Arabidopsis thaliana: one gene and its partners. The protein of the gene in region 3 interacts with the protein of the main gene of each other region in a pairwise test. Each region holds a gene or a part of one and is shown on either strand. Other genes may lie near its edges.

Region 1 (9,169 bases), on a different chromosome or scaffold from region 3:
ATGAGTGTGAGTTTAGGAGATGATGCCATTGGTGTTCCTACTGGTTTGGCGTTAATCATGTTGTAGCGTTGAAGTAGATCAAGAATGTACTTTCGCTGCGAAAGATGTAAGCCCTTAGACGTCCGATGATCTTCTAGACCAAGAAAATAGTTGAGATCTTCAGGGTCTTTGATGGAGAAGCGAGCTGCGAGTGCATCAAGAACTTGTTGAATGCTTCCTTTGTGACTACCCATGATTAGTATATCGTCGACATACACCAATAGATAGACAAATTATTTGCCACGTTGCAGAATAAACAGAGAAGTGTCAGCCAACGAGTTTTGAAATCCCAAGGTGAGGAGATAAGTCTTCAATTCCGTATACCAAGCACGCGGAGCCTGTTTTAACCCGTAAATCGCTTTACGTAGTCGACAAACGAATGATGGATTGTCGGGATCAATAAACCCAGGAGGTTGCTCCATGTAAACTTCTTCTTTCAAGGTGCCTTGAAGAAAGGCGTTGTTGACGTCTAATTGTCGGATTGGCCACGATCGGGTTACCGCAACATCAAGAACAAGACGTAAGGTGGTCGACTTGATCACAGGACTGAAAGTGTCTGTATAATCACGGCCAAGTTGTTGATTATACCCTTTTGCCACAAACCTTGATTTGCACCTGCCAAGAGAACCATTAGGGAGAAATTTGTTTTTAAATACCCATTTACAACCAACAATGTTCTTATTAGGCTCTTGATACCATGTTAAGAATGTAATGACTTATATTATACGAATAGCTTTACACAAGTATATATACAAGTACAGAGGAGGCTACACTAGGGTTGTACAAATATAGAATGTTCCATAAAGGAGATAGAGGAATATTATGATATTAAAGAGAGATGATCCTATGTATCCTTAACAAATCTAGTTTAGTTGGATTTGATTTAACATTTGAAAAACTTGTATACCAACTTAATTCGAAAACTGTATGGAAGATTTTGAATGTCCTAACACAATCACAATTATTGTATATATATACTTGGTCTGTCCGGACAAAACTGCTAATCAAACCTTTCAAAGAAAAAAAGGAAAAACCAAAAAAAAAAGAACTTAACTAAACAATAAATCAATAATAATGCTGATACGATATATTTTGTCCATATATATGAGATCGTAAATCTCTCCCATGACTGATAACTGATAAGAAATCTATGGATACCATCAATTCGGTGGGTTTGTTGAAGGTCTACCAAATCGAAGAAACACACATTCATTCTCGTAATCGTACGTATATTCATTTATCTAGCTTCTTTTATTTGAATTTTTACGCAATATGCAATTCGATTCGTAGACTCAGTTGAATATAATTGACCTAATACCTAATGCTTATAACTAAATATTATAGATACTATTCTTGAATGCAACATTGAGATGATCAAATCATTTACATTTACAATCTTATTTTTCTCGTTTGATGAAGAAATAATTTTGGGGAACAACCATATATAGATGAGTGATAAAGGTATTGCCACGTTCCATTACTGAGAAGCATAATTCAATTCATATCTTTTGGAGACAAATTCGACATGTCATTCCCTAAGTCTATTTCATATATTTAATTTTAAAAACATTGAATATTACTATATAGTTTATCAACTTATATGGATGTATATAGTATGTCCCATTCGAATAAGTGCATCAAAGCGAAACGAATTAAATGAGATTCACGACCAATGATTGTTGTTTATGTGTATACTATTAAGTTCACGTGAAGCTAGCTACAAGAATCACAGATATATACTACATTATTTGGATTAAAGTTTTAAAGTAACAAGAGTGATTTAAATTCGACCCGTAGGTTCTCTTAAACTATGAGAGTACTATATGAGTCTTTAATTATCTTGATCGAATATATGCCTTGGAATTGATTAATTAACGCCTCTTTGAAAAATTGGACAGTTGAATATAACATTTCATTTTAGGTGGGGTTTAATCATATTGTTTTGTCAACGCTAACGGAATTATTAAAAATGAACAATAAATGATATCACAAAAATAATTTTCATAAAACAAATAAGCAAACCACCATTGCCAAACCCAAAGAGGCGCACTATGCTTCCACCTTCAGGAACAGAAAAATAATAAACGTTCCTTGAATGAGAAATGGGAAATTAGTATATGGGAATTTATGTTCATGTATCTTTGACTATTTTTCTCTCAAACGATATTATTCGATACTATTAAACTATAGTTATTCACTAAATCTAAAACTGATTCGTTGAAATTTATGATATCTTCGTTTGGGGATTGTACTATATAGTTATCATGAGTTTGTACGCAGCCCATGCTTGCTAAGGTAAACAAAGTTTCATGGAAGGTTAAAAAGTGAAATAATGATATCAAAACCTTTTCCCGGCGAAATTACTTTTATTTATCTTTGATTTGTCTTGTAGCTTTTGGTTCTTCAGGTGAATTATTCAAGTTGGTTTAAAGATCCGTTGGTGGCAATGATTTGGTAGCACAGTTTAGTTATGACAGTTATAAAAAGATTTTTTTTTCTTTCTGATTAATCTTGATATTCCATTTAGAATAGAGTCATAGACATTGAGAAAAACGTAGGTTTACCACTTCCGCATTCAAATGTGTTAGAATTTAACAATCCACCTCAAAGATTTAAGTACTGATTAATATTTAAGATTGTTTTGCAAATGCAGAAGAAGAACCTCCATGTTCAATGATAGAAAGCCAAATCGTAAAACCGGATTGTCTATCTTCTCTTCTCGAGAAGAAGCAAAGAAGAGAATAACAAAAACGTTACATCAAATAATATCTCAAAGGTAGAAGTCAACCACACATCCAAATCAAACACAAAACATAAAACAACGACCAGTTTACTGACTAAAGCAACAAACAAACAACAAAAATAGATCATTTTTAATTCTTCTTCATTTCCTTACATTCGTAGTCTTACTTACTTCATTTTAAAAATTCAGAAACTAAAGATATTGATGTTTTGAAATTTAAAAACACCACCAAAAGATCGCACATATTTTGTATAGTTAGAAAGCTTTGTCATGTTCCATCTTTTAAGCTCTCATCTTCGATTTCTCCATTGCTCTCGGAGCTGCAGCTGCAATATCACCAGTTCACCACATTGAATCATTAAGACATTTTGAATCAGAGAAGACGAGTGATCAAACATGAATTGAAATCAGTTTAATTTCGATTTTATTTACATGTTAATTTGTTGTATTTACTCCCAAAAGAAGACGAGTGATCAAACATGAATTGAAATTTCTAAATCAGCTACAAGTAACTCACACCAACAAACCACTAATCTCATCATACACACTACTTGTAATCGGTTTTAGTAGAGATAGTAGTTTACGTTGTAGCTTAGGAGCAGAGAGAAGAATAGACTTTACCTAACCCAATAGCATCACACCCTTTCATTATCTTCAGCTTCTTGCAGACATCAATAAACATCCTGTAATATACATCGGATCAGAAATCACTCATGAGCGCTTATACCAATCACCATGATATAATCTTCTATGGCATGTTAGATTTGATTCTAAGATATCTGGCAGAGAGTAGAGAAAGCTTCTAACAAGTTTTGAATATAAGAGAGGAAACTTACTCCCACGGAACATCTCCAACAAGCATCCAGTCACCATCCTTATCCTCATAAGTGAGCACATAGTCTTTTCCATTCAAAAGATCCTTGAGCTTGGTCTCACTAAGCATATCCTTCCCAGCAGCTCCATTAGATCCACATTGACCTAAACATCAAATAAACAGTGCAGGTTAACTACTTTGACTGCACTCATTCATTGATCCTTAAATAGAAAGAGGTTTTCAAACACATCACTAGCAATCACTGAAACATCTCACCAAGAGTGAAAGTGGTGAACATTTTCTCCAAGGCTGAAGAAAGCTCCCCGTAGTTAGTGTAGCTCCTCAGGTCAACTTTCCTCAGATAAGGAGCACCATCCATACTGACCTTCACGAAGAGAGCCCCAGAACCTGGCCTCCCATCAACTTCGTCACTGTTCTTACAAGTAGTGGCCAATGTGTTCTTCCTGTAGGATCTCACTGGAGGCCAACCGACAATTTGTGCCCTGAAAATTCCAGAATCCGAAAAAACACCAGTTAGCTAGCTGTTGAAAGTAATCCATATCAAAATCGAACGAATGCTCCTATCTTCTATTCATACTTGGCTGCAGGTGGACTAGAGCTATTGTTTGTAGTGCTAGACTGTCCTTTGGGTATGTTTTGTGGCACATCTTTCTTTGTTACAGACTGGGTGGCTGCTGCTTCAGGGAACATCCAGTTTTTCTCAGTATACACTGAACTTTTAGCTTCAGCAAACTGATCCATTGTGTCAGAAAAGCCTCTTTTGTTTCCCGATGCATTGTTCTTTTGCGAGGAGGAGCATATCTCATCTTTAGAAGGAAGCAAAGGAAAGAATGGCTTCTCATCTAGCTTTGCTGGGCTCAAAAGGTTAAGCTCTGTGTCTCTCGCAGGAGATTGTGATCCAGGAAGACCAAGTGTCAGCTCCGTAGCCTTGAGGCTGATAGTAGCTTTGTCATCTTCAGCAAGGGGAGAGAGAGTAGAGCTTCCAACAGAAGAACAATCAGAGAGACCCAAGTAGTTATGCTCTTTAAGTCCTCCTAGAGTGTTCCTGGAGATGCAATTGCTAGTAGGTGAAGAACTAGCCACCGATACATTGCTCTGTAGCTCCTCTTCCGGGGACATTGGATACTCAAGGTTTCTTTAACTGCAAAGCTGCTTTACCTGATGATTTACACAGCACAAAGTCCTCCACATTAAATTCACATAACCATAAACAAATCCTCAAACAAAACCCTAAATTACCAGAAAAAATCAAGAACTCAATTTCAATCAAAATTCGAAGAAACTCGAAACCGTATCAATTAGGGTTTCAAAAGTAGATTGCATCTATGAAAAACTCACAACCAAAATTTAGAGCAAAATAAAGCTCAATCTGAGAAAAAAATGGAAAGCTAAAAATAAATAGAAGTCAACTTAAGGTCAGATGAAGAAACTACACCGTTGAGTTACATTTTTCGAGCTGATCTCAGATTTGAATTTCCACAGAATTCTATCTACAAATCACTAAACCTAGCAAGGTTTAAGCCAACAGCTCAAACAAACCAAAATTCGCCATAGAAATAGTGAGGAAATCAGCAAAGAAACTCAATAGCTAATAGATCTAATAACTACTAACTACACACACAAACAACAACAAGCTAAAAATTACCGGATTTGAAACTATGTATAAGAAGAACAGAGAAGACATAATTACCTCAAACGGAAAAAACAAATCCTGGATGAAAAATGGAAGCTCACAACGAAGAAGAAGAAGACGATCAAAAATAAGAGAGTCTGAGATATTTTGGAGAAGAAGAGTATAATTTTTAAGAAACTGTAGAAGATGAATAGCAAAGAGAAAGAGAGAGAGAAGTGTCAAGGTCCTTCCATTAAAGCAGAAAAAAGCTTAATTATCATTACCCAGAAACTCGTAGCCGAGATTAAAATTAAAATAACTAAACAAAGTGGTAGAATAGAAAATAAGTGGAAAAAGTTGCGTATTTTTATTTACGAATGGATTCTAATCCAACGGCTCAGATTTGATCGTGCTGATAATTCTAAACCGTCGGATTTAAATCAGCAGATATGAACCGTTGATGTACAAATGTCGGGAGTCGGATCTTTAAACAAAATTATGCCACTTTTCTGGCTCCACCCGAAAGGGGATGGTTGTCTGCAAATATTAAATTCCGATTCTATCCTTTTGTTTTTAATGACTAATGTAACCTCTATGTGATGATAATGTGATTGAGGAATGAAGGGTAAAATGGTAAAGAGAGAAAAAGAGGAGTGAGGAGGGGACAAGAAAGCGGCATTCCAAGTCGGTTTGCCGGGTGGTGAATGGGACATCTAACCTCTTCCACTTTCTTCCTTTCTCTCTCTATCTCTACTTTATTAATCTAAAATTAATTAAGACTTGTTAATCTTTTTTTATAATCACTTTCTTTCTTTCGGATTAAATTTAATTAAATTCCGCCACCTTCCTAATTTCTTTAACTTTCATTATTACGTTTCCTTATCTTTCAATTTTTTTTACTTAGATTGGCCCAACTGGATGGGGCCCATTGAGAAATGTTAGTCCCCCCAAACTTGAATTTTTCATTTTGCTTTTTTTTTTTGGTTTGGCATTCATTGTAGTCTTCTAGATAGATGAATGGGTAAATAGTATAAGTAACTTTAATAATGACTATAGATTAATCTTTTTCATAAGGTTACGTCACGTGCTAGATTTTTGTTTTTTATTTTTGTTGAATTTGCACTTAAATAAGTAAACTGATTGAAACAAAATTATAGTCATGACAAAAATTAGATACATACAAGTTTGTCCGAATTGAGTTTAAAAAAAAAATCTCATTTTTTGAAAGTATAATTTGTGGTGTTATTGTTAGAAGTACAAAATTTGAATGTGAACAACATACATATTTCTGGAGTATTAAATATGTCTGAATTGCACTGTTACGATCATCATACACAACGTTTAATCCATAGTAATAAGGATGATTGGTTAAAAAGTAAAAAAGTAAATTCGTTGGTAATAAACAGGTAAATTATGTATGTTAATTTTTATAGTCGGTTACATTCTTTTCGTGTTAAAAAGAAAAAAAGAAAAAAATTATAGTCGGGTGTAATATACATAAAAAAAATTACTGTAAAAAATTCAAAGTAATTAAAAAAGGAAGGTAATGGGAATTGGGGAAAGGGGAGCATAATAATAACAAAAGGGGTGAAATGGGATTGAAGAACACGCATGGGAAGCACAAAATATCTCAATCTGACCGTAGGATTTGATGGTAAGAGAGTAAGAGAGGCCTGTGTCCGTTCATCATCATCATGACCTTCTCTGACTCTTTTTTTTTCATCATCACTCTTCCGTACCACTCACGTTATCTCTTTTTTACCCCTCTCTATTCTTTTTAACCTTTTTTCTTTCCTTTTACCAAAGATTTAAAGACGATTAATCAAAAAAAAAAGTCTTTAACACCTTATGCACAAAGAGGAAAGTAAAAGAAAAATATTCACCGTCCAGAATAATAATACGGCATTTCTTAACCTTCCCCGTAAAAAGTTTTGATTTTCTCTTTCTCATATTTTGTTTAATCGTCTGTATAATAAGTAAAGGATATTAATTATTTCAAATTACTACAACTACCATCAGACATTATATTTAAAATTATGAGTACATGAAAATATGTGTCTAATTAAAAAGTGATTGGTAAAAAACAATAATAGTAATACAGATAAATTATTACAAAAATGCAAAAGTAAACAGTAGATCAGATTAGCAGCATTTGCGAGTACAAATAATGCGGGTTGAGACAAGACAATGAGACCCGTAGTGCTTTTGTCCTTCACGCTTATTTTATTAGTCTTTGATTGATGATGGATTCACTAAAGTTAATTAATCTTTTTCCCCGTAATTAATTAATTTATAATTAGAGTGGAGGAAATCAAACGACAAGACACGTTAGACTGTTTACTTTGGGCCCAGACTTTGCACTCTAGTATATAAAAATTCATTTATAATTGGGCTTTTATTTCATATTATAACATAGGCCCATAAGCCACTATCCTTCTTGATGGGCCATAATATACTTACCTCTCTCGTATTAAGGATTTGTTGAATTTATAATCTACGTGTTGACCCCAAAAAAAATGTAATGTACGTAAGATATTTCTTCGTTTAGTCAGTCATGTTGCTGTCAACGTTTTTATAATTCTTTGTATCACAATTTTTTCAATTTTTTTTTAACTAGAAATACACAAAAACAACTAATTATTTATTGCAAATTGTTATATGTTTTATATGTCTCAATATAGGGTCAAACGACGAGCTACTAAATCGGATTTGCACAACAAAATAATATAATTAATTTTATCGAGTTCGTAATAGGACAATGTACCGAGCCGTGATCATCAATATACGAGAGAGCCATTAAAATATATTTGACCGAAAATCAAATACACCTTCGAGTTTTCACATAAAACCTCCGTCAGATATTTCATCCCTCGCAATAAATTACTACATAAAGATAACATTTTAAATTACATGTATATCTAGCTGTATATGAATTAGATATAAGAAAAAGAAAAAAACGGTTTCTTTTTCTTTCTATGTATAACACCTGTATTTGTACATATCGCTTAGGGTCTTAGTCTATATCAACATGGTCCCATACAGCTTAGTTTTTGCTTGTGGAACAGGTTTGGATTTTTCTACAACATAAGAGCTTATATTATAAATGCATATTAAGTCAATTTCTCTGTTTAATCAAATCTTTTTGGTTCTAGAATTGATGTCACCGAATCGCTATGTATCTTTGATTAGATTGGAGAAAAGACAGATTTGCGTCACTCTCAAAACAAACCCAACAACATGCTGCATACCTCATTGAAATCGTTATTAGTAGATAATAATTTGTAAGTTCATTTTTTGGACTAATTAAAAAGTTTAATGTTATTATGTTAGATATATATTATAATGGTTATTAACAACGTTTTAAGCAAACACACAAGTTGTGATATAAAAAGTGTAGGATCGTGGGGTTTAGGGTTTACAATTATAATGGTTAAAACACGTTTTATAGAATTTTTTGTTATTGATAGAAAAAAAAAAGTGATATAAAAAAGTGTAAGATGGGTTTAGTGGATATACTCATTGACCCTAAAAGAAACGGCGGTGACAAATTCAAGACCCATTCACAGTTCACACTTCGCACACACATAGATATAGATATTTTTATTGTGATTACAAGTTAAAATAGCAAGTCTACTTCCTAATAGAAATTCCTTGTATTTCATTTTAGAAATTTGAAACCAATTTTCTATAAACTCAATTGTACAGTATATGAAAGTAAGCACAATTTAAAAAGAAAAACTGAAAATAATTGTGCTTACTTTATTTTAGTTTTCGTCAATAACAGTGTTTATAGATGTTTGCATATGAAAGATCGTATCTAATCTTACTAAGAAACTTATAAATCTCAAAGATAATTGTTATCTTGTGTCAAATTTCGAAGAGGAACTAGAGCATTACATGGTGTGAATGTGTAATAAACTAACCATGCTCTTATTGCAGA
Region 2 (6,357 bases), 2.0 Mb from region 3:
CCGTGAAACAGAGGAAGTTTAAAGAGACACAAATATGTTAGGTGTTAAAAAGTCAAGAGTACACAAATATGTATACGTAATAACAAATTAACTTCTAATTGTTTTTAATTTTATACGTAACTAATTTGATTCGTTAGGTCGAATATCTGTATAGAAAACTACAATTGGGCTATAGAAATGTATTTCTAGACCGTAAATCGTTCCTTGTCCTACAAGATTTGTTTTTTACTTTTTAGTTAAATCTCTTTTTGATAAAGGTTTCCTCTTTAGGTTTTTGTTTTTGTTGTAACTCTTGTTCTGCAAGTTAAAGGTTCATCACTCAGAGCTAGGTAGTACTCTGAGTATGAAGTCACAGATACTCCTACGTCGAACGTATAGCACAACCATCCCTCCTCCCACAGCAAATGTTAGAATCACTCATCTCTCTCGTATCGGCAAGATTCATGAAGCTCGGAAGCTTTTCGATTCATGTGACTCGAAATCAATCTCTTCCTGGAACTCTATGGTTGCTGGGTACTTTGCGAATCTAATGCCCCGAGATGCACGGAAACTGTTCGATGAAATGCCTGACAGAAACATCATCTCTTGGAATGGTTTGGTGTCCGGGTATATGAAGAACGGGGAGATTGACGAAGCTAGGAAAGTGTTTGATTTAATGCCTGAGAGGAATGTTGTCTCATGGACGGCGTTGGTGAAAGGGTATGTGCACAATGGTAAGGTTGATGTGGCAGAGTCGTTGTTTTGGAAAATGCCTGAGAAGAATAAGGTTTCTTGGACTGTGATGCTTATTGGGTTTTTGCAAGATGGGCGAATCGATGATGCGTGTAAGCTGTATGAAATGATACCGGATAAAGATAATATTGCAAGGACTAGTATGATTCATGGATTGTGCAAAGAAGGAAGAGTGGATGAGGCAAGAGAGATTTTTGATGAGATGTCAGAGAGAAGTGTGATTACTTGGACTACAATGGTCACAGGATATGGGCAGAACAATCGTGTGGATGATGCTAGGAAGATTTTTGATGTGATGCCAGAGAAAACTGAAGTTTCATGGACTTCCATGCTTATGGGCTATGTACAGAATGGGCGAATTGAGGATGCTGAAGAACTTTTTGAAGTTATGCCAGTGAAGCCAGTTATTGCGTGTAATGCTATGATTTCCGGGCTTGGACAGAAAGGAGAGATAGCAAAAGCAAGAAGGGTTTTTGATTCAATGAAGGAGAGAAATGATGCATCTTGGCAAACGGTGATCAAAATTCACGAAAGAAACGGTTTTGAATTGGAGGCTCTTGATTTATTTATTCTGATGCAGAAACAGGGAGTTAGACCCACTTTTCCAACATTGATAAGCATTCTTTCGGTCTGCGCCAGCTTAGCAAGCCTCCACCATGGTAAACAGGTCCATGCTCAGTTGGTTAGATGTCAATTTGATGTTGATGTGTATGTTGCGTCTGTTTTAATGACAATGTACATTAAATGCGGCGAGCTTGTGAAGTCTAAACTAATATTTGACAGGTTTCCTTCAAAGGACATTATCATGTGGAATTCAATCATATCTGGTTATGCCTCACACGGTCTTGGAGAGGAAGCATTAAAGGTTTTCTGTGAGATGCCTTTGTCTGGTAGTACTAAGCCTAACGAAGTCACCTTCGTTGCAACTCTCTCAGCATGTAGTTACGCTGGGATGGTTGAGGAAGGGCTTAAGATCTATGAATCTATGGAATCAGTTTTTGGGGTTAAGCCAATCACCGCGCATTATGCTTGCATGGTAGATATGCTTGGGCGTGCAGGACGGTTTAATGAGGCAATGGAAATGATTGATAGTATGACTGTCGAACCAGATGCTGCAGTTTGGGGTTCTCTATTAGGAGCGTGCAGAACTCACTCGCAGCTGGATGTGGCAGAATTTTGTGCGAAGAAACTCATAGAGATTGAACCGGAGAATTCTGGGACTTACATCTTGCTCTCCAACATGTATGCATCTCAAGGTAGGTGGGCTGACGTTGCAGAACTGAGAAAACTTATGAAGACTAGGTTGGTAAGAAAATCACCAGGTTGTAGCTGGACTGAAGTCGAGAACAAGGTGCATGCATTCACTCGTGGGGGTATTAATAGCCATCCCGAGCAGGAATCTATTTTGAAGATACTGGATGAATTGGATGGGTTATTGAGAGAAGCCGGGTATAATCCTGATTGCAGCTATGCATTGCACGATGTAGACGAGGAAGAGAAAGTCAATAGCCTGAAATATCATAGCGAGAGACTAGCGGTAGCTTATGCTCTTTTAAAGCTATCTGAAGGAATACCCATCCGAGTCATGAAGAACCTTAGAGTTTGTAGTGATTGCCACACAGCAATAAAAATAATCTCTAAGGTGAAAGAGAGGGAGATCATTCTAAGAGATGCAAACAGATTCCATCACTTCAGAAACGGAGAGTGTTCCTGTAAAGATTACTGGTGAGATTCAATAAATGCCAAGCAGAATGTTTTTTTTTAATCTTAGGCTTAGCTATCAATCCTCGTTGGAGCGTTGGCAAAATGGAGTAATTCTCGCAAACCATAGGAACTTGCTCAGCCATTGATGAGAGTTCTCTCTAAGTTCTTCTGCTAATATATATATATTTTTTTACTGATCTTGTTATCAATGTGCATTTGTAGCATTTTCTTCAATATGGTTAATAAGAAGTGATGAACAATCTTCAAGCAAAACTAGAATTCCATGACACATTTGTTTTTGGTACGTAGTTACTAACATTCTTTGTTGCTTATACAGAAACTGAAGAGCTCTTTGTCTCTTGTATGTATGTATGCTACAGAGAAAGATTCAAGTCTAAACAAACGTTAGTCTCAGATCCTTCTTGCTTTTCCTTAGAGCCATCATACTCGTTGGATGCTGAAGAGCTCTCATTAGCTGCTTTTTCAATGTTGTTGGCCTCTGCTTTATTCATGAAAATGAAATCTTCTGGCTGAAACGAAGGGAATCTACGAACCCTTGCTCTTTCTTCTTCTTCCTGTCTCTTCTTCTCCATGGAGCTGTTGACATATTTCCGCATTTCCCTTGCGTTTTTAAGCACTGTGTACAACTTCTCCATCTTTTCTTCTTCGTCATCTTCCTTCTCCATTTTCACCCTCTTTCTGTCTCTGTCCATTGAACCGCTCTCTCTTCCTTCCCCTATGAAAATGTTTCTCTTTAGTTACATCATTTTCATCCTACTTTGATCATCAACACATGATACATCTGGAAGAATTTTCTGGAGGAATTGGTGGAGAAGATATAATTATTGCCTCTAGTGGGAAGACTAACAACATGACCTTATCTAAAAGTCTCTCAGACTTTCTTCTTTCCTTTGGGTGGCTTTGGAGACTTTTCAACACTATTATGGACCCCACCATGATGGACATTCATATAGCAACATGACATACATGTGTACATATGTACAGTCTACAGGGAATGGCACAGCTTCAAGCTAAACAAACACACTTCACAATAACCATTCAGAATCACTCTCATTTGTTTGTTGCTGCATCTATGTTTCTTCTTCAGTCATCTGCCCATGGGACACCGTGCTTGGCCCAAAGATAGTATGCCGCAACTGGTCCTCGTCCACCAAATTCATACAACTCCGGAGCTGTGTGATGCTTGTCTATCTCTTCTAGAACCGGACTAAGAATGTTCCATGCTGCTGCAACCTCATCGCTTCTCATGAACAGATGATTGTCTCCGTCAATTACATCATGAATTAGGTGTTCATATGAGTCTGGTACTTCGGTTTTATACCTACAGGTTTGATCCAACAATTCAACCAACCATAAGGCGCAAAAGTTCGATTTTTAAAATGTGTAGGAACAAAGATGAGAATGCAAAACTTGCCTGTCTTTATAGAGCAAGTTAAGTTCAGAAGCGTCTAGCTGAAGACCTAAACCAGGAACCTTGTTGTTGATTTTCACCAGGATGGCCTCATCAGGTTCGTCACGTAGAATAAGCTCATTTGTCCCCAAATCTATGTTTATTCCAATATTTTCTCGGTATAGGTTTCCAGGAACATGCCGGAATTGCACATGAATCTCCACTCTTTCAACATTAAGGCACACCAATCAATTGTTATGACAGTTGGATATGTCTATGAGTAGGAATAATTATTCTTACCTGTGTTTAATGAGGCCAGTGCCAACTCTTACAAGGAAAGGTACACCATCCCAACGTGCATTATCAATATACAAGGCTGCTGCACAATATGTAGGGTCTACACCGTTCAAGATCACACCGTTCTTGTCTCGGGAACTGGATTTATACTGGCCAAGGATGACATCACGCGGGTCTATCTTGCGAATTGATCTTAAAACCTTCACCTGCAGAAGCAGGTTTGTCACCAAGTCACTTGACAGAACAAGAGTACACAACTTACATATATACCATAAGACGATTTTGTTCTTTACAGTACAGGTTGACCTTTTCATTTCGGATATCTTCACCATCGAGACTTATCGGAGGTTCCATGGCAAGTAATGCGATTGTCTGAAGTATATGGCTGTGCACTATGTCCCGTATTATTCCATATCCATCAGAAAACCTTAAAAAAAGCAGTAGGAAATTAGAAAATAACATTACTGATTTGTCTAAGAATGCTGAAACAACACAATTTACTCTCACATGCAAAGAAATGGTGAAAATAGAACTATTGTGCCTTACTTTTCTGTTTGCGCAATTGATTCTGATATAATAACCTGGAAACATCATTTATACACAAAGTGAACAAACCAGAATGTGGAAGAGGAAAGTTCAGGCACTATACACAACTACAAACAATCAGAAGGAAACACTACCTGTATATTGCGTATGTATGTTCTGTTCCATAGTGGTTCAAAAACTAGATTTGAAAACCTTAACACTGTCAGATTTTCAATGAGGTTTCTTCCTAACATGTGATCTATCCTGTAACGGGCACAGAAGTGTGAAGAAATATGAACTTGAGAGCTGTGCATGCAGAAAGCAACTAGATTTAAAAGAAGGACCTGTAGATTTGCTTCTCTTCAAACTTAGAGAGAAGTGACTTTGTTAACTGATGAGACGAATGTGAGTTAAAACCAAAAGGTTTCTCAACTATTATTCGAGTCCAGCCTCGTGGTGCCTGAGCGTTATCTCCAATGGTGCATGCCACATCCACCAGAGCTTCTTGAGGTACTGAGAGGTAAAAGATTCTATTTGCTTCTGATTCTCCCTGAAGAAGAAAAGCTGTTAATGTCTTATTCTATCTTGCTTGTCTGTTCAAAATGTTGTAAACTCAGAAAGAGGACTACTTCTGGGACAAAATGTAATCATTGAAAGAAAGAAAAAAAGGTACTTAGGAACCTCAATCTGTTTCATTCTCTCGGCAAGTCGGGACATCCCATCCCTGTTATTATAACCTCCATTGATATAGTATGTTCTACTCTGAAATGCATCCATCTTGCCCCCACAATTCTCCCTGAACATTTAGCATCATTCTTTAGCTAGCACGGCCGTATATCAGAGATACCAAATTTAAGGTAGTACCAAGAATTATACATACTGATGATCAACACGGCAAGTCAGCGTTGATGCAATGATGGATCTGAGGTCTTCATCTGTCAGATTCTTTCTTGAAACCCCAAATATAGCAACATCCTGTGACAATGAAGACCAATCAAGAAGACAACCGAAAAAAACTATCCAACTGTTTTGCTGCTTACTTTGTAATTGTTCATGAGCACAAAAGTCATACCTCAGGAAGGTAGCCGCTATAATACAACGCAAACAATGCCGGGAAAATCTTCCCTCTTGCTAGCTCACCAGTGGCTCCTACAACAGCAATGCAAAGTGAGGCCCTTCTTCGAACATCTGAAAGATCATCCGAGAGTTGTTTTGACACAGGTGGTAAGTCTCCAACATTGTGAAACCCATCATTCAAATCCGTTCCCAGAATATTCTCTTCTGGTCGTAAATCTTCAGCTCTAGTTTCTTCAGCAAAACCTGCATCACATTCTACCTCAGGAAGTGCTAAAGAATGATCAAGTGAAGACATGAGATGTAAATTGACTCATATCTTAGAACTAGACCTCGTTCATCATCGCTGAGGAAAGTGTGCTTTGAGTGTGTTGTAAGCTCGTTTACAGGCTGATGTTTTCTGTTGTTGCCTTGTCTACGATTCAAGCTCTTAAGTATCCACAGTTTCAAACCACAGAATCTCCGGCAGAGATTCGAGCCTCCTCCGTTGAGAACAAGGCTTCCACTTCTGGAGAAACTATAGTCTCTTGACGAAACCTATTCACACAAAATAGAGAAATTTCAACAACTAGAAATCAAGTTGATTTCGAAGGTCAATAATATACTAAAGCTTA
Region 3 (6,787 bases):
CTATTTCTCCTAGGTTCCTAATCTTCGACAGTACGTCTCTCGTTTCCTTTGTTTCGTAATCATTGTTTGTTATTGTTTTTAAAATAGTTGCTTCTTATTCTCAACTAGCATAATTGTTTTTGGGAATGTGGTGGGACTTTTAGAGGTTCGATTAGGTTAGGGTGTGTAACGTTTTGTGTTTGTGATCATGTTATGCAGAACTTGTGGAGGAAGTTATTATCGTTTTGATGCAAAAATCTTGTTTGAATTTTTTTCAAATGCTTGAAGGACTTGCTATATGTGTTACATGTGCCACAGTATTTTATCTTTGGGGGGAGAGCATTAAAGAGTTTAGTAGTCTCATCCCAATCCTTTTTGCATATTTGAATGTTTTTTTTTTAATAAATCAATCAATCAATGTATGATTGCTTTTGGGATGGTGCAGGAGATTTGAACATTTTAACAGTATTACCCGCGTTATTGACTTAAAAAAGTTAGGTATGTTTCTCTTAGTATGGAATTCAAAGCCTACTTCATTCTGTATTGGTTTCAGCCTTTCAGGTTACAATGTGAACCAGTTATTGTATTATTTTTGTGTTTTCAGATGATTTGCTTAAAGAAAAAACAACGAATCTTCTTGTTTTGGTATCCGGAAGAGTTGCATCTGCAACAACCTTTAACTCCAAAGATGGTGATCTTTTGGGTGTTGTTTTTGAGAATACGGTAAGATTGTTTTTTTTGTAAAGTTGGCAATCATGTGTGCTTAAATTCTCTGGTTTGGTGGTGTGTAGTCATAAGTCATAACACATATACTGTCTTCGGGCCAAAGTGGTTTATGAGAACAAGTTGGAAGATGGTGGTTTGATAAACAAGTCTGTAAATCTTCTTCTACAACGAAAGGAGACTCCTTGGTATCTGGTAAAATACAACTCATTTGCTATTTCTTGCCCCCCCCCCCCCACCCACGACTTAAGCCTGCCTTCTTGATTTGTTGTCTCTCTCTCTCTGTGTGTCTCACACACACAATTAGGAAGACAGTACGGGTCGGGTGAATGTAGTGGGAGCTGAAGGTGCTCTAGGTTTTAATGAAATTGTAAGACCGTATGAAGTAAAATCACTTGGTGAATCCTTCAAAAGTCTTTGTTCACCCAAAGAAGGCTCTAAGGTTCTTTGTTCCTTCATTGTTTTCTCCTTCTCTGTTTTGTTCCCTAGAAAACCTCTAATTCCTTGTGTTGAAAGTTGAAACCAACAACGTGATGTTTTTCTTTAGGTTATCTTTGGGCAGGCTCTTAAAGTTGGTACCTCTTTGACTTTTGTTGGTGAGGTAAAGGAAGTGTTCCTTTTGACTTGTTTCTTTATTCAGGAAATGTGGATCCTGCAAGAGTGGCGTTTTAGCGGTTAGTTCAGTTACATTTTTTTCCCTCTTCTGTTGTACTGTTGTATAGGCTGTTAGAGACAAAGCTGGTAATCTCATGATTCAAAAATCCAAGGAACAGTCTTTAATAGTGTTTAGTGAAGAGAGCTCCTTTGATGAGATGGTTAATAACATGAAGTCACAGTCAGAGTAAGGACAGACTCATGTTTTTTTGTTATACACTTACTTTGGGAGGTGAGGTGATGAATCATATTTTGTTGTGTTATTTTTGCAGGCTTTGTGTAATACTCGCCAAGATCTTCGGATCTATTGCTGTGGCTATAGCCGTCGTGTACGGTGTGGATTATGCAAGAAAGGTTTTGTTACCATTCGTGTGGAAGAAAAAGGACTTAGGTGACAGCAGTTCACAGAATGGTAGCTCAGACAGCGAAGATACCGACATCAGTGATTTCTAGGACTTTCTGGCAAGAAAAGTCTCAGGGAGAAGAATTACGCAACGAATTGATTTCACAAAACACACTTGTAATCTGTGTTTAGGCAAATCTTAACGAGTATTTGAATCTAATCAAGTAATCATGTCTACAATTTGTATGGTGAAACTTTTTTATACAGTTTTGTTTATTTGTTTTTTGTACGTTGGATTGAGATTACGGGCAAGCTTGGTTCAGATCGAGCCGGGCAAGACTGTCTCTGGTTTTAGTTAACCTGGTCCTAAATCCTAATCATTTTCTAAATCAGTAGGTAAACACTAGAATAATTGTAGACTAGAGCTATGTTTTTTAGTTTTCTCAAAGGTGTTCTTATTGGCCTTGAAATGCCAACAAAAGCCCAATTAAAGTTGAAACTTTCGTGGGAATGGGATGCTTGGTATAATGGTAGCAAAGTTACAATTTTATGAATCAATTAGTTCACAATTTTATTGGTATATACTTTTAAGTATATGGTTTTACGACTTTATAAAAAAGCAAAAAGTATAAAAATTATTTTTGAAATGACTATTTCTACAAAAAAAAGCATAACAGCTTTTATTGGCTTTGATGATGTCATTATAATTTTTAGTAACAAACCTCGAAAAAACACAATGTTGTGTTATTTCCGTAACTAATTGTCTTTTCATTACGTGAAATATATCTTACCATTAATTATTTACAAATTTTAGAATTAGATATGTAATCTTTACAATTTTCTATCAAAACAAAATGTCATTTTGCCATCCTTTCCCATAATAATTAGTACTACTATTCAACTACTTCAATATTATTACGTATAAATATTCTGATTGGCGAACAGTATTGACCATAAATAAAACGTCAGCTAGTTGTCTTGTCAAAACTCAAATCCCACCGACGTAAAAAGAAGAATCATAAAGACCAATTAAAGAGTGAACCAGTTAGTAATTAAGGACATGTCCAAATCAAACACATTAAACCCACTAATGATAAAATAATAATCCATTAAAATAAGCGATCAAGGAGGAGAAATTAACACAGAAGGGATGAAAATGAAATTGGAACTAAATTATAGTATTATCTCAATTAAGGATATTAGTTAATTAGTTAGTGATAAAACTTTTTATTATTGTTAACCCAAGTTTTAAAATGATAACGAGTAACACCAATCCCTTCACAGAAGACTCTTATCTCTTCTCTAAGCGCTCTCTTATCCTTCAACGTCCATCCCAACTTCGCCGCGTAATCTTTCATCGCCTCTCTCTGCTCCGCCGTGAACTTTGACTTCCTCCGCCTCTGCACCGTCATCTTCTCTTCCGTCGAAGTCTCCTCCGTGTCATCCTCCTCCTCCTCATTTCTTTCCTCAGCCGTTTTCCATTTCAGCCTCGCCAGCTGCTTCACGCGCCTTAAGCTCGTGAACGGGAAGCGCGTGTGATTGATTTGAGGAGAAGATATGACGTCTATACGACGGTGGTAGCTGCGGTGGCAACCACAGGCGACGCAGAGATCGCCGGTGGATGGTTGAGAGTATTCACGGCAGCCATCGATGGCGTAAGAGCCGAGCTTCGCGGCGTGGTTGCGCATGCATTCTCTGTAGACACAAGTACTCTGCATCTTCTTGGCTCTCTAATTAGAAGAGAGAGACTTTGTTTTTTTTTGAGTAATGATTTTTGCGTTTAGGGTTTGTTTTGGAAGAGTTTGGTTTTGGGTTACTTAAGTTATGATATGGTGTTTTTTTGTGTCAGAAAGAGTTGGGAGTTACAAAAAGAGCAAAAATTATTGTTACTTACTTGCTTTAAGATTTTGTACTTACGTGTTTATTAGTTGTCATAATAAATGTGAAAAACCCACTTTTTGAACTGTTTCACTGGCTTTGCTTTTCTACACATCCATAATTTCGTATCCTCTCAGCTCATAAAGTTGTCATCTCTACCCATAGTTAACTCTTTCAATCCATTGGGTTAAGTGTAGTAGCAATAATGAGGAATAAGAAAACTAAACCACTTTTTGTAAAACTATAGCGGCTAATTAGTACTAGTAAACTAGTACTAATATATTAGTAATAAGTTTTTAATATAGGTATAAACAAATTTAATAAGTTTGGATTGTATAGAGGTCACATGTTTCTAAATAAGTAGAAGTATTTTGATTTATAAAAGTAAGATTTAAGAAACTAATTTTGTAAAATTGAGAAATATCAATAATATATTGTAACTAAAATGAAACTATAATTAAGAAGCAAAGATCAAAAGTTTTCAAAGAATCTGATTTTATTGCAAAAAGAAGTCTGAAACGCTTTCTTTTAAGAGGTTTAGCAAAAAAGCAATTGTGTGACCCACGAGTTGACTATTCACTATCGTATATGTTCATTTGCCTACTTTATGTTTTGTGTGTAATTTAGCAAGCTAAACGATTATTTTACGGCTTAACGATATCAATCACACCATTAATAATTAAGATATGTATATTTCCATATTGTACAAACAAAGTCATAATTTGACTTGCTCAAACCACATACATTATATACGATTACAACACTACTACACTAGAAAATTGCCTCAAAACAAAATCAACGAAACATATAGAAAAGCCAACCAAACAACACTTATCTAATGAACTTATTACGTAATCAATCGAGTTAAACTGAAAAATGGAAGATAATAATTTAGTAACGACATCAAAAATATCTTTTTTTATTTTGGTCAAAACTGAGATTTCTTAATTTTAGCTTATCCTTATCTAATTCGTTTTAAACCAGCAAAGAATTGACATCAAAGAAAACAAAACACGGTTTAAAATGAAAATTATAAAGCGCGAAATAGAAACTAACAATTTGAAACCACACACATTAGTCGGAAGATGAAGCTTTGGAAACGCGCCGCCGTAGTTCTCAAAGACGGACCTAGTCTCATCGCGGCTGATGACATTCTCACAGCAGCCGTTGTGAAAGCTACAAGCCACGACGAGCTCTCCATTGATACAGAGAGCGCTCAATTCATCTACCGTCACGTTCTCTCTAGCCCGTCAAGCCTCAAGCCTCTCGTAAGCTTAATCTCGTCTCGCGTGAAACGCACGCGAAGCTGGGCGGTTGCTTTAAAAGGCTTAATGCTAATGCACGGCTTCTTCCTCTGTAAATCAACCGTAGCAGAATCGATCGGACGGTTACCTTTCGATCTTTCGAGTTTCGGCGAAGGTAATTCACGGATTATGAGCAAATCCGGTGGGTTTAATCTCTTCGTACGTGCTTATTTCGCGTTTCTTGATCGAAGATCGATTCTGTTTCACGATGGGAATCGTCATCGATACAACGAAGAATCATCGGTTCTGATTCGACTTGTGATTATTCGTAAGATGCAGATTATTGTTGATTCTTTGATTAGAATCAAACCGATTGGTGAAAACATGATGATACCTGTGATTAATGAAGCTATGGAGAATGTGGTTAGTGAGATTATGGAGATTTACGGTTGGATTTGTCGTCGTATTGCTGAAGTTTTACCTAACGTGCACTCCAAGATAGGTAAAACAGAGGCAGACTTGGCGTTGAAGATTGTTGCTAAATCCATGAAGCAAGGAGGAGAGCTAAAAAAGTATTTTGAGTTTTGTAAAGACTTGGGAGTTTCTAATGCTCAAGAGATTCCTAATTTCGTAAGGATTCCTGAAGCGGATGTGATTCATCTCGATGAACTCGTAAGGACGGCGATGGAGTCGTCTGAGGAAAGTGCGGAGAGAACAGAGATTGCTGAGGAAGAAGAAGAAGAAGAGGAAGAGATAGAGACGAAGCTTTCTGATTTGATAACACTTGATCATAATGAGGAAGCTCCTGCCTCTCCTCCGAGAGTTGTTGTCGTTGATATTCCAGACTTAATTAGCTTTTAACTATGATTATATTCTGTATTAATTTCGATTGTTGTTATTGTTCATATGGTACACATTCAAATTAATTTCGCGCTTGGGACAAAGCTATACTTCCTTTAGTTAATGATTATTCAGACATCAATTCTAGTATGTTTTTCAACTATATATAAGTACAAATAAAGGTAATCTGAAAAATAAAAACATTTAATTAAAAGAATATCTGTTACAAGTCAGTAAAATGTTTATAAAAAGATAACAAAAGGAAGAAAAAAAAAAAGTACAAAAAAATAAATTTCCCTGCAGATTTTTTCTGGGTCAATTGCAAGAATATCACTTTTTCAATAAAATATTAAGAAAGTAACACCATAATACTCATAATGTAGTAAGTAACCATGTTGATGAGTGGAAATACAAAACTATCCTCCAAAGCTTGAGATGCATAATTGAGGCAAGGTAAGTGTGGGTATGACGTAGCATAACTAGAATCAACCTGGATTAAAATATTTTATCACTATTTGGTTTTGAAATCAGAGTTAGATTATACCATATGAAAGTGTAAATAATATAGAATTCACAAAATATATGTACGATCTTTAAAAATTAACATTTGAATATATCCAAATAATTTTGTTTTTACATTAATTTATGAACAATACTTGGATTTAGGGGCAAACCCTTTTATCATCCTCTTTTATTAGATGTCATCTAATAAATAAATAAAAATAATTTAATTATAAAATCTAAACTTTAATAATTATAGTATATATCCAAACCATACATAATCTAGTTTAATTACAAAATCTAAACCCTAATTCTCTTTTGTAAACCCAAACCGACATTTAAACGAGTTTAATTGTAAAATCTAATCTCTAACCATATTTTCAAAACCCAAACCGATATTTAACTTTGTTTAATTATAAAATCTAAATCTGTTTATAAACCCCAACCGACATTTAACCTCATTTTTTTGTAAAATCTAAACTTGATTATAAACTCAAACCAATATTTCACTATATTTAATCATAAAATTTAAACCCTAATCATATTTCATAAATCAACTTATATATAATTTTGTTTTGGTGGCATATTAGATTTTCTAATTAAATGATTTTTTTTATTTGGTGGC

Evidence for each region.
Region 1: the proteins of HB32 (region 3) and IAA9 interact in binary tests that used the Arabidopsis thaliana proteins (3 or more experiments, as listed by UniProt).
Region 2: the proteins of HB32 (region 3) and NIMIN-3 interact in binary tests that used the Arabidopsis thaliana proteins (3 or more experiments, as listed by UniProt).

What each region holds. Positions count from the first base shown.
Region 1 is NC_003076.8:26,250,030-26,259,198, reverse strand, and holds IAA9 (indole-3-acetic acid inducible 9), read right to left. Parts: upstream 5,792-9,169; 5' UTR 5,308-5,791; intron 5,253-5,307; exon of another isoform or gene 5,064-5,252; intron 4,776-5,063; 5' UTR 4,737-4,775; coding exon 4,195-4,736; intron 4,100-4,194; coding exon 3,873-4,099; intron 3,761-3,872; coding exon 3,619-3,760; intron 3,466-3,618; coding exon 3,404-3,465; intron 3,109-3,403; coding exon 3,065-3,108; 3' UTR 2,655-3,064; downstream 1-2,654. UniProt on the Arabidopsis thaliana protein: Aux/IAA proteins are short-lived transcriptional factors that function as repressors of early auxin response genes at low auxin concentrations.
Region 2 is NC_003070.9:3,035,100-3,041,456, forward strand, and holds NIMIN-3 (NIM1-interacting 3), read right to left. Parts: upstream 3,310-6,357; 5' UTR 3,150-3,309; coding exon 2,811-3,149; 3' UTR 2,655-2,810; downstream 1-2,654. Other genes in the region: AT1G09410 (pentatricopeptide (PPR) repeat-containing protein), read left to right, coding at 344-2,461; G6PD4 (glucose-6-phosphate dehydrogenase 4), read right to left, coding at 3,541-3,778, 3,872-4,072, 4,148-4,344, 4,415-4,571, 4,691-4,725, 4,825-4,933, 5,014-5,219, 5,351-5,465 and 3 more.
Region 3 is NC_003070.9:5,044,676-5,051,462, reverse strand, and holds HB32 (homeobox protein 32), read right to left. Parts: upstream 3,682-6,787; 5' UTR 3,418-3,681; coding exon 2,911-3,417; 3' UTR 2,710-2,910; downstream 1-2,709. Other genes in the region: AT1G14688 (E3 ubiquitin ligase), read left to right, coding at 480-519, 584-702, 1,250-1,303, 1,425-1,543, 1,629-1,809; AT1G14686 (ENTH/ANTH/VHS superfamily protein), read left to right, coding at 4,663-5,682. UniProt on the Arabidopsis thaliana protein: Putative transcription factor.